Linked DNA regions of Mus musculus. The protein of the gene in region 1 purifies or fractionates together with the protein of each later gene. This does not show direct contact. Links are inferred from orthologs where the notes say so. Each region holds a gene or a part of one and is shown in the gene's direction. Other genes may lie near its edges.

What was found. The genes of interacting proteins can lie anywhere in the genome.
Region 2: the proteins of Fam53c (region 1) and Plk1 purify together in Homo sapiens (affinity purification with mass spectrometry; 3 studies listed by BioGRID and IntAct, counting the BioPlex papers as one, with this or other methods). This does not show direct contact. The link is inferred for Mus musculus from reciprocal best matches to the Homo sapiens genes FAM53C and PLK1.

The regions. Positions count from the first base shown.
Region 1 is NC_000084.6:34,757,403-34,763,038, forward strand, and holds the start of Fam53c (protein FAM53C), read left to right. Parts: upstream 1-1,924; 5' UTR 1,925-2,195; exon of another isoform or gene 2,196-3,575; intron 3,576-5,092; 5' UTR 5,093-5,244; coding exon 5,245-5,322; intron 5,323-5,636.
Region 2 is NC_000073.6:122,165,270-122,170,831, forward strand, and holds the end of Plk1 (serine/threonine-protein kinase PLK1), read left to right. Parts: intron 1-2,327; coding exon 2,328-2,483; intron 2,484-3,296; coding exon 3,297-3,374; intron 3,375-3,559; coding exon 3,560-3,714; intron 3,715-3,811; coding exon 3,812-3,994; intron 3,995-4,117; coding exon 4,118-4,321; 3' UTR 4,322-4,615; downstream 4,616-5,562. Other genes in the region: Ern2 (serine/threonine-protein kinase/endoribonuclease IRE2), read right to left, coding at 4,797-5,027, 5,085-5,152, 5,232-5,355. UniProt on the Homo sapiens protein: Serine/threonine-protein kinase that performs several important functions throughout M phase of the cell cycle, including the regulation of centrosome maturation and spindle assembly, the removal of cohesins from chromosome arms, the inactivation of anaphase-promoting complex/cyclosome (APC/C) inhibitors, and the regulation of mitotic exit and cytokinesis.

The DNA.
Region 1 (5,636 bases):
CTAGTCTGGTCTATAGAGTAAGTTTCTGGACAGCCAGGGTTCATGTGAGAACCTGACTCAAAACAAAGCGAAACAAAAACCCAAACCAAGGGGTTAAGAGTCTCCAATTTTGCTATAACTTGAACAGTCATTTAGCCTTTCAGGGGGTTTGTTGACAGTTTCCGTTTGGTGATTGAAAGGAAAACAGCAATATGTTTACTTAAAGTATATAGTGTAACTAGACATGGGCAATTCATGGCTGTAATCCCAGCATGTAGGGAGCTGACGCAGGAAGAACAGAGTTTAAGGACATCTCTAGCTACATAGTAGGATTGAGCCCAGCCAGAGCTGTAGGAGACCCTGTCTCAAAAATAACCAAGCAAAGTATGCAGCACAGTGCAGTTGTAGGAAACCATGTCTCCTTTACTCTTTGTCAAAGGAAAACACGCAACTCAAAATAAGTCTCCACACAGACACCTTTAATTTTGTTTTAGGTTCTGCTGTGTAATGCTTGAGTGGCCTCTGCAGTTGAAATGCTGACTGGCTGACCTGGAGGGCAGAGGCAGTCTTCTTGACTTTGCCTCCAAAGTACCAGAATTTTAAACGTGTACTACTGGCCCGGACTTCCCACCTCAACTTTGTTTTTTTTTTTTTTTTTTTTTTCTTTTTTCGAGACAGGGTTTCTCTGTGTAGCCCTGGCTGTCCTGGAACTCACTTTGTAGACCAGGCTGGCCTCGAACTCAGAAATCCGCCTGCCTCTGCCTCCCAAGTGCTGGAATTAAAGGCGTGCGCCACCACGCCCGGCTTCCACCTCAACTTTGTAATACATTTTTTAATTCTTCTTTTTCAGTTTGCATACTTGAAGCTTCCTGCTTCCTCCCCGGCCCAGCTCAAAGATGAAGTTCTCTATCACTAAGTCTACCTGTTTCCCTATCCCAGATGAGGGGGCTTCAAAACACTTAGAGTAAACCCTTGACTTTTAGGGATTTGCTGCTACAACTGTAATAATGAAATGACTGGAATTACCACTTTCTATCCGACTAAAGAAAGGAATCTGAAACTCTGCCCTACAGTGATCTGAGCATGAGAGCATTTATTGAAAAAAATTTTTCCCATCTGAGACCTCCAATTTACAGAAGAGCCAGAAGCCTCTATGGGCTTTCTTCCCTACTGACATCAACACCCAGCCTATTGAAAAAAAACTTAAAACTTTGGTTGAGGTGGGAGGTGGTGATAATGGTACAGACTTAATAAAAATGTGGTTTCCAGTTCCTGAAGAGGAAATACAGTACTGTTGAAATCGGTTCCTCATATGTCAGCTTCCTCCCTCCTTCTGTCTTAAGTGGTCCAGCCAGAACCATCCTGCTCCACCACCACCCCCCCATACACCCCGCAACTGAGCCACCTATGATGTCATAATCACAATCCCATTACCTCATCCTGCTGGGGGGGGGGCGGTAAGGAGGAAAGGGAAGGGAGGGAGTGAACAGCCTCGGGTCCGCCTCAGCTTTACAAAGTGTTTTGGGTGAGAACAAATTACAGAGCAAGGGGACACAGCTCCGCAACCGTTATAAATCTCAGGTTTATAAAAGCTCTAGCAGATCTGGCAGCTAGAAGAGGGGCTCCGGCTACTCAGAGCAGGCCTTGACCGGCGCTTGGACTACATTTCCCAGCAGCCTTCACGCCGAGGATCAGTCCTTGCCGGGGGAAGGTGGGGGGATGCTTGCAGAAAGGTGGCTGTGTCGGAAGGGAAAGGAGGCCAGGTGAGAAGACTGTGGCTAATATTGTTTCGTGGCCTGAGCTGAGTCAGATAGTTCAGTTGGGAGGATGGTTTAGTGGAAGGAGTGGACAATGGCTTTGTTTACCTTTATCCGACATGGCTTCCCCTACGGGCTTCGTGATATGCTTCCAACTGGGCCTGTCCACTTTCCACGTTATTTTGGAGGGGGTGATTAGTTAGTGAGGAGACACTCCGGTCCCCAAACCACAGCTCTAGGCTCCTTTCCGACGGCGCTATTCTGAAAAAGATTAAGGGAGACACCACGTAGGGCTTGGGCCTCTTCGGCAGGTTCCGGGGGATTCTGTGAATAGACGCGATCCCCCATACTCTCCTCAAAGACCGGTTGGTTCTTGCCAGCGCCTTTTAAGGGCACCGTGGGGCGAACGGAGCGCTCAGAGCTGCTCCGGCCGCGGCCCATGGAGCTGTAGGAGCCGCGGTAGGTAGCGGAGGGCAGGTGGTGCTGGGGCCTCGGGGCGGGCACCGCGACCGTCCCTCCCTCTCTCCCATCCCCCAGTCCAGCCGCTGGTGCGGCGGAGCCTCCTAGGCCGTCTCGGCGGGAGAACCCGGGACCCGGTGGGGGAGGGGGTGGCGGAGTGCATGTCCCAGACCCTCCCCATCCCCTGCGTCCTGAGTTCGCTTCCCGCGGTCAGATGGGGAACCAGAATGGAAAGAAGAGAGCGACAGTCTCTCTGAGCAAACCCTGGAGTGCCCCCCCGGGGGCCAGTAGATGCCTCATGCCCCACCCCGCGGGGACAGGCAGGGCAACAGAGGGAGAGGTTGAGGATTAGAGGGAGCCTAGTCGTTTGCTTTTTCGTCGCGGTGGGGGATGGGTGCACCCCACTTGTCACCCCTGTCTTCACGAGAGCCATATGGAAGAAGAGCATTCTAATATCCATTTACCTTTTTCTTGCATCTCCCTGCCTCGCTTATGTTTTCCTTCAGTTTCTCCCAGAGGTGTGGGACCGGGAGACCTGGGGGGAATGTCCCCAGGGGATTTGCGACTTTCTTTTCCCTTGGCCTGACTGGATCTTAGGTCGTCCAGGTTTCAACACAACCTAAGTATCCCAGAAACGCAAGTGTCAGGAGTTGCTTCCATCCAATAGGAGTGGGGGGGTCTAGTCGTCATCTTGGGGGGTTGTGGTGGAGGGAGATTCTGGGCAGAGAGTTAGGCCTGGTGGGGTTACTGGGAGGGCCGAGCGGCCTTCTTGCTCAGTGAAGGGCTGAGCCTTGTGCCAGTAACGTTCAGCTGAGAAGTTTTAACTTGTTTAGTGAAATGTTGAGAGCTGTCTACCCCTCAGATACACAAAATGGAAGGGAAGGAAGGCTGCCAGAGAGAGCTTCTCACACTTTGTAAATGTCTGCTTGAGAACGAGGAGGCCCCTTGCAGAGCTGGTTTACCTTCTTTTGTGTCCTGGTTTGATTCCTTATGGCTTCCGTTCTGTTGCCCCTCTCAGCCTGGCCTGTTTTAGGAAACTCAGGCTGAGAGTATCAGTTGCGTGGTGGTAGTTGCATTGTTCCAATTACCGCTGTGTGTGGCCACATCCCGACAATTAAAATGCAGAAAAAGAGAAATCACCCTCTTCAGCTGCTGCTAGAGAGGGCTGGGAGTTTGCTGTTTGCCTCACTGAAAAGCTTGCAAGTGTTTTTCACTCCCTGCTCCTCATGGCTGGTCAGCCTGGAGCCTGGGGTCTCTCTAGGGTAAGATTCTCCACTTAGGTTCCCTTCTTGTTCATCATTTTTGAGGACAGAGTTAGAATGGGAGCAGAAGTGATTCAAGCTTTAGCTTCTCCCACCAGAACCCAGGGGAAGCAGCTGAAGGGAGTTGGTTCTCAGGAAGCTGGAACTTTGTTCGGAACGGTAGGGATAATTACGCATGGAAACCATAGTTAGCTAGAGTGATGATTGACGGCTGCGCCGTCCTTCCAAAGAACTCCATCCACATCCACAGGACCTTTGCTCTTTGTCATGTGCCTCTGAAGTGACACCCTCGTTTTTGCAGTGGGTGGGCTTCTCCAAAACATCACAGGAGGAAGACCCCTTAGGCTTCAACTTAGTGAGCAAGTGACGGAGGTTGGCCTCCAGCCAGAGAAAGATGCATAGCTTTCTTCATCCTAATGATACCACCTCTTTAGGCACACCAAGGCTTGGAAGAACAGCAAAGGGAGAGAGAAGAAACAACAGTCTGTGTGAACTATTTTATATAGGCCAGTTGGTAAGCTATTTTGATATTTCATGTGGCCTCATTCCTGTGATAGAGTAAGATCGTTATACCCATTTTACATATGGGTAAGCAGGAATGTTATATGGCTAGCCAAACTTGCCTGAGTAAATTGGATTAAGGATTAGGTGATAGTGGCAGCTTTTTTTCCTCCCGGGCTGGCCTTCACGAACTGTTGAGCTTCTGTTTGCTTTCATCTCCCGAGGGCTGGGATTACAGGTGTCTGCCCAAGAGTTAGCTTTCTTGGCTGACTGTTCTCTGTGCCAGTTTAATGCTCCACATACTCTGGCCTTGCCTGTTGGTCACTGATGGGAAGAGGTAGAACAAAGGCATCACTAACCTCCCTTCCTTCTTCCTCAGAGCAAGGCCAAGGCCCCGTAGGTAGGCAGTTGTGTGGGGTTTAGAAGCTGCTCTCAGATAAAAGTCAGTTGGCTTCAGTCTTAAGGAAGAATCCATGGTCTTCAAGTGGGATCATGAAAATCAACACAACTTTGTTGGATGAAGTCATGAGTTGTTTTTAATATCCGTAGAGTTGAAATGTGATTGGAACTGACCATTCTTTCTCATTGGATAAGAGAATAACCAGCAGCATCTACTAGGAAAGAGTGATGTATCAGCTGTTCATTTAAAATCCTCTTTAATCTGACCTGAAACTGAAAGCCCAGCCCTTGCTCCTCTCTCTGTACTAAACCCCTGTGGTTTAGAAGGGTTTTTCTGTTTGTTTGTTTTTTGTTTTTGTTTTTGTTTTTTCTTGGCTTCTGGCTGTAAGATAAAGAGAATATTGTGTTCATCCAGTATGGAAATAACCATTTGGACAGCTCTCATTTGAGCTGTTTTCTAAGTGGTGCTGATATTCTAGGTAGACACAACAGAACTTAAGCCAGGTTAGAAACGGTAAGTGGGTTTCACTTTGCTTGCCAGCACCAGTTTATTTGACTGGGTATCTAGAGTGCCAAGTTCAGAGTGTTTCTGAGCCTGTCTTTAAGCTTACCAGGAAAGTGCTATGATCAATTAACGAAGTCTGCCCGAGGCCTGGCATAGGGACACTGCTGTGTGTGTGTACTGTGCCTTGTCCATCTCTAATGTTACTTGGGGCTGACCCCTCTAATTGGCAGGCACAGCAGGCATGACTGGAGAGGGAGGTCCCAATGGTGCTAGAACGGTGCTGCAGTGGCAGAAGGAGGCTCATGAGTGAGATCCAGGAGAACGACAAGGAAGACATCCACCAATCGCTCCAAAGTGTGCAAGCCAAGTCCTGGGCAGAAACATGATCACCCTGATCACGGAGCAGCTCCAGAAGCAGACCCTGGATGAGCTGAAATGCACGCGCTTCAGCGTCAGTCTGGTAAAGACCCGAATCTCTGCTTCTTCCTCATCTTCCCCTTTTTCTGGAGGCTGTTGCTACAATCTAACCTGTGTTCTGTGTCGTCTGAAACGTGCTTGTACCGGAAAAGCCCACTAACAGCTCAAAAGCCAGCCAAGAGAAAGGGGGCAGGGACGCTAAAACTTGGGTGAAAGGGGCTTTGTGACATTTGAGGTGTGGCTTGTTTCTCACCAACTTTGGGAAGACAATAGGAAGAGAACAACACAGGAGTCTAATATCCTGGTAGCTCATGAATTATAGGAAGAATGTAAGAGTTCTCTCTAGAAATGTCCTTG
Region 2 (5,562 bases), on another chromosome or scaffold:
GCCTCAAACTCAGAAATCCGCCTGCCTCTGCCTCCCAAGTGCTGGGATTAAAGGCGTGCGCCAGCACACCCGGCCATCATCAAGTCTTATTTGTCCTTAATATATTTCATTAAGAGCTGTGTCTTTGAGGATAGCTTGTTCTCTGTGTGGATTTAGTATAAAACTAGTATTCAGTATAAAATTCTCAGTTCATCTGTTTCAGTTAGATTTCCATTTTTAGGCAAGTGGCTTGGGATGGCTTAGTTTCGTTTTTGGTGCTTTGAGACAGGGTCTTGTGTTGTCCAGGTTAACCCTGAGTTCCTCCCAAGTGCTGGGATTTCAGACTGAGTGCTTCACTTCACCCCTGACTCAATGACTTGGTTTATTTTGGAATAACTGTAGTGCTATACAAAATTTTTTAAAACAATAAAGTTGAATTCCTGTGTACCCTTCACCCAGCTGCTTCCACGGTCAGCATCTCCCTTAAAAGCATAGCATAATTGCCAAAACTGAAGTGTTAGCTAGAAGATAATCCCCCTAATCGATCAACCAGATAGATCCCCATTAGACCCCCAGAATGCAAGTCAGCACCTCACATGGCAGTTAGCGACCTTGGCTCCTTAGTTTCCTCCAGCCTGTGGCAGTCTCTGGGTTTGCCTTATGTCTTGTGACCTTGACACGTTTAGAGGGTGCTGATGAGTTGATATCCTATTGGATTTGATGCTTCCTCGGGAGTGCAGTGAGGTTCTGCATTCTGAGCAAGAATGCTGTGGAGGGCTTTGCCCTTCTCAGTGTGTCAGGGAGACCGTGTCTCTCCCACAGACATTGTTTCCTTGGTAGTTAATAAATAGCTTGCAGGAAGTTGTTTGAAACTGTAGGGACCACCAGTCTTCGTGGTAGCAATTATTACTGTAATTTCAATTTTGTTTCCCTTTTTGAGACCATGTCTCATGTGGCCCGAACTGCTTGGGTCTCACAGTAGCCAAGGACAACTTTGAACCTGTGCTCCTTCTGCCTCTATATCCTGAGTGCTAGGCTAACAGTCAGGGATGGGCTACCATGCCTAGTTCATGAGCAGTGGGGAATCTAAGTCATGTTGGACGTGTATGTACGGAGGGTAGCTCCCTGTCCTTCCCCGCAGTGCTGGACCTGGGGATTCCTAACTTCCTCGGCGGTGGAGGTTAGAATGCCGCTGTCTTATAAGTATAGTAAAGAAACTGTTCTGTAGACAGCCTCCACACTCACCCAAAGGCAGGGAACCACCTGCATTATCTGTCCCTGGGGCATTCATTTCTCCTTCATTTCCAATAGCTAAATTTAGACAGGCTTGCTTTTTACATACTCTAGTCTATAAACACTCATTTTTGCTAGGTTTTATTTTTTAACTGTGTATGGGTGTCATGCATGTATGTATGTATGTGCACCAGGTACATGTGTGATAACCACAGAGGCCAGAAGATGTTTTTGGATCCCCTGGAACTGGAGTTAGACATGATTATGAGCCACCACGTGGGTTCTGGGAACCAAACCCAGGTCTTTGGCAAGACCAGCAAGTGCTCTTAGCTGCTGAGCCGTCCTCCAGCCCCTTTTTGGCTAGTTTTAAAATCAGATCCTGAGCCAGGCGGTGGTGGCGCACGCCTTTAATCCCAACACTTGGGAGGCAGAGGCAGGCAGATTTCTGAGTTCGAGGCCAGCCTGGTCTACAAAGTGAGTTCCAGGACAGCCAGGACTACACAGAGAAATCCTGTCTCGGAAAACAAAAAAACAAACAAACAAAAATCAGATCCTGAATATTTTATTTCACACTTAAGTTCTTAATGTAGCATGGTGGTTTATTTTTTTTTAATTGAAATTTTAAGAAAAAAAATTGTGCTGTCTCACAGGAGAACTAGCACATGCTGGTCTGGGGAAACAAGCCAGTCGAGTGTAAAGCTCCCCCCTGGCCACCGTAGCCAACTCAAAGCTTTAGTGTGCATGTCATCAGACCTGGGCGGTTTGTAAGCGCACAAAAGCAGAGGGTTACAGTGAAAGGCTTCTGGGGCTTTATTTAAAGGAATCCACCCGTCTTTCCAACTTCCTGGGTGCTCACAGTGCCCTTCACTCTTGAGTTGGTGCAGTTTTGAGTCATTGGTGCCTTCCGATGGCCTCCCTGAGTGACAGCAGCAGCTGCTGTCCTGGGAAGCTAGGCTGTTGGGTTAGAGACCTCTCAGTATAACAATGCCTGCCACTCAAACTGGTGCTGACTGTGTCCCCACATCGCTGATAGTGAAAAAGTTGTAGTTGTCGCCAAAGTCCTGTGCTCCTTCCCCTAGTTTTGTGTCTGTCCAGTGACCGAGTTTTCTTCTCAGGTGTGGAGAACCCCCTGCCTGACCGTCCCCGGGAGAAAGAGGAACCGGTGGTCCGGGAGACAAATGAGGCCATTGAGTGCCACCTTAGTGACTTGCTACAGCAGCTGACCAGTGTCAACGCCTCCAAGCCCTCGGAGCGCGGGCTGGTGCGGCAAGGTGAGTGCTACAGAGAGGTCTGCGCGCCTGGGGAAGGCAGGGCTGCTCAGTCAGCAGAGCACTGGTGAGGGCCCAGACCCACGTGACCTTTGCTTTGCCCGTTTCTTATAGATCAAAATCCAGGTGAGTTAGCCTGACACCCACGGCCCCCCTTGGTGTTTCTTCTGCCTACTTCTGCACCATCTTGTCCTGTAGGTGGCTGGTAGGCCATCTCTGCATCACTGCACATATTGCTCAGGGAATTAATTCCTCCAGAGACTCAGATCAGCTCCAGCTTTAGGGCTTTTGTACCCAGTGTCCCTGCCCTGACACCCGCTGCCATCACTTCTAAACCTGACTTAATTAATTCTCTATAGCATTTCTTCCCAGCACATTTGTGTTTTTGCATCAGGGACTTGTGTACAGTTTTCTAGCTGTTCTAGCATCGCAGGCAGGGGTTGTCAGCCAACTGTCTCTCGTCACTTTAGTCTGGGATACTAGGCCTTCTACCACCCCCAGGGCGAATGATGGAGGGGCCTGTAGCCTGTGCTTCTTCTTCATCCCTGTGGTTGGAACCCGGGCTCTTCTGAAGCCTGTGGGTCTCTTTCCCTGTCCGCACCTCCCACAGCTCATGGCTACAGTAGGCCTAGAGTACAGGGGCTCACTCGTGATGAAGTGGGCCTTGGCATCCTGGGCTACAGTTTTCCATTTGGGTGTCAGGTTTGTACTGTCAGGCTCCTCCTCAGGTTTCATGGGGTGCCATGGGGAGGGCTGCTTGAAAGGAAAGGCGACGGGGCTGACCTAACCATAACCAGTGTTCTGTTTCTACCCCAGAGGAGGCTGAGGATCCTGCCTGCATCCCCATCTTCTGGGTCAGCAAGTGGGTGGACTATTCGGACAAGTATGGCCTTGGTAGGTGTCCCAGAATGTGGAATGGGCAGGGGATGGTGTAGCTGGGGGGCGGGGCGTGGGAAGAATTAAAATTCAGGTCTTCTGCATGGTAGGCAAGCATTGTACTACTGAGTTCTACTGAGTTCTTCCAAGGCCTTTGCCTGTCTCCTCCTGCCTTTCTGAGATAACCCTCCACTTACCACCAGGGTATCAGCTGTGTGACAACAGTGTGGGGGTGCTTTTTAATGACTCAACACGCCTGATTCTCTACAATGACGGGGACAGCCTGCAGTACATAGAGCGTGATGGCACGGAGTCCTATCTCACTGTGAGCTCCCATCCCAATTCCTTGATGAAGAAGGTGAGTCCTGGCTGTCGAGGGGGAGCGTGGCAGGGTAGGGGGCTGCCTCGGGGCCAGGCCCTCATTCTGGAATCCCTCCCCCAACTTTTCAAACTAGATCACTCTCCTCAACTATTTCCGCAATTACATGAGTGAGCACCTGCTGAAGGCAGGGGCCAACATCACACCCCGGGAAGGCGACGAGCTGGCCCGGCTGCCCTACCTACGAACGTGGTTCCGCACACGCAGCGCCATCATCCTGCACCTCAGCAACGGCACCGTGCAGATTAACTTCTTCCAGGTGTGCTGGGGCAGGACGCTGTGCCTGGGGGTGGCAGTGCTGTCTCCCTCACCAGCGGGGCGCCTTCCTCCCCTTTGCCCTCCCCCTGGGCACCTGTTGAGCTCTTCACTCGCTCCCTCCTAGGACCACACCAAACTTATCCTGTGCCCCCTGATGGCAGCGGTGACCTACATCAACGAGAAGAGGGACTTCCAAACGTACCGCCTGAGCCTCCTGGAGGAGTATGGCTGCTGCAAGGAGCTGGCCAGCCGCCTCCGCTACGCCCGCACCATGGTAGACAAGCTGCTGAGCTCGCGCTCCGCCAGCAACCGCCTCAAGGCCTCCTAGGTCTCTCTCCTTCGGACTGGTGCCCCTTCACTCTGCTAGCTCTGAGCCTGCACTGTAGGCTCCTGGGGGCTGCTGTTCAGTGCCCCTGGCCCTGGGGGCTGGGCAGGAGCAGGGCCCCCTTTGAAGGGGTTGCTGTGTGTAAGTTATTTTGTACATGTCTGGGTGTGGGTTTACATCTGCTTCCCTGCCCTCGCTCAGCCCACTGTATGAATTGTATAAATGTTTCTATTAAATTGGGACTGCTCTTTCCTTAGCTTTATATATATTAAAATGTGTACATCTCTCTCTCTCTTTCTCTTTTTGGTCTTGTATTTCTTAAGAGTCCCCTGCCCCCAGAGGTTTTTGGTTTTTTTTTTTTTTTTTTGCATTAACAGCCTGAGTCCCTTAGACCGCTGCCCATCTTTTCTGTCACGCCTGAGACTAGACTGAGCCACAGGCTCAACTCCTTGGTCCTCCTTTGGACCCTCTGGATGTCTCAGCTCTTTGTGGCATCTGGCCTCCTGGCTTCCAGAGCTGGTGGGTAGTAGGGCAGGAAGAGGCTCTCAGAGGCGCAGGTCCTCATGGCACGGTGAGTGTGCAGCAACAGCCTGGGGAATCGCTGTGTGAAGTACTGAATGAAGCCAGCAGGAAGTTGGCCTAGTGTCTGGCGCACCTCAGCTGGGAGCTCCCTGTAGTGGTGCTTCTGGGGACGGGCAGGACAAGGATCCTGGCTCAGCTGTGGCAGACCATCCCTGATAGGTCCCACCCGGGCTCTAGAACATACCTTGTTCCTCATGGCCCGGAGCAGGTCTCGAACTGATGTCCCTTTGTATGAGCGGAACCTTTTCAGATCTGCAGGCAGAGAAATGAGCTGCAGAGGTGTTTCCCCCTGGCTCTCTGCCCCTCAGACCCACCCAAGTGAGGCCTCTACCTGCCTGCAGAGGGGCTGAGATGTGCTTGTGCCAGTCTTCCCGGACCACCTTGTAGCTTCCTGCCTCCAGCGCCGACACGAGAGGCCCCTGATCTGGTTCCTTCTCCAACCAGTCACTGACATCCTAGGACCCCACAGAGCACCTGAGCCTTGTGGCCAGTATCAGAGACCTCAGGGCCAGGAGGCTAATATTGTGGCTAATGTTGGAGTAGCAAAATGTCTTAGGATGACAAGGGCTATGGCCTCCTGGAAAGTATGGCTTCCCTATGCCCTGCTTCAATGCCACAACCCATCTTGGAGGAAGCATTGTTGCCTCTGTCCTACAGCTAGG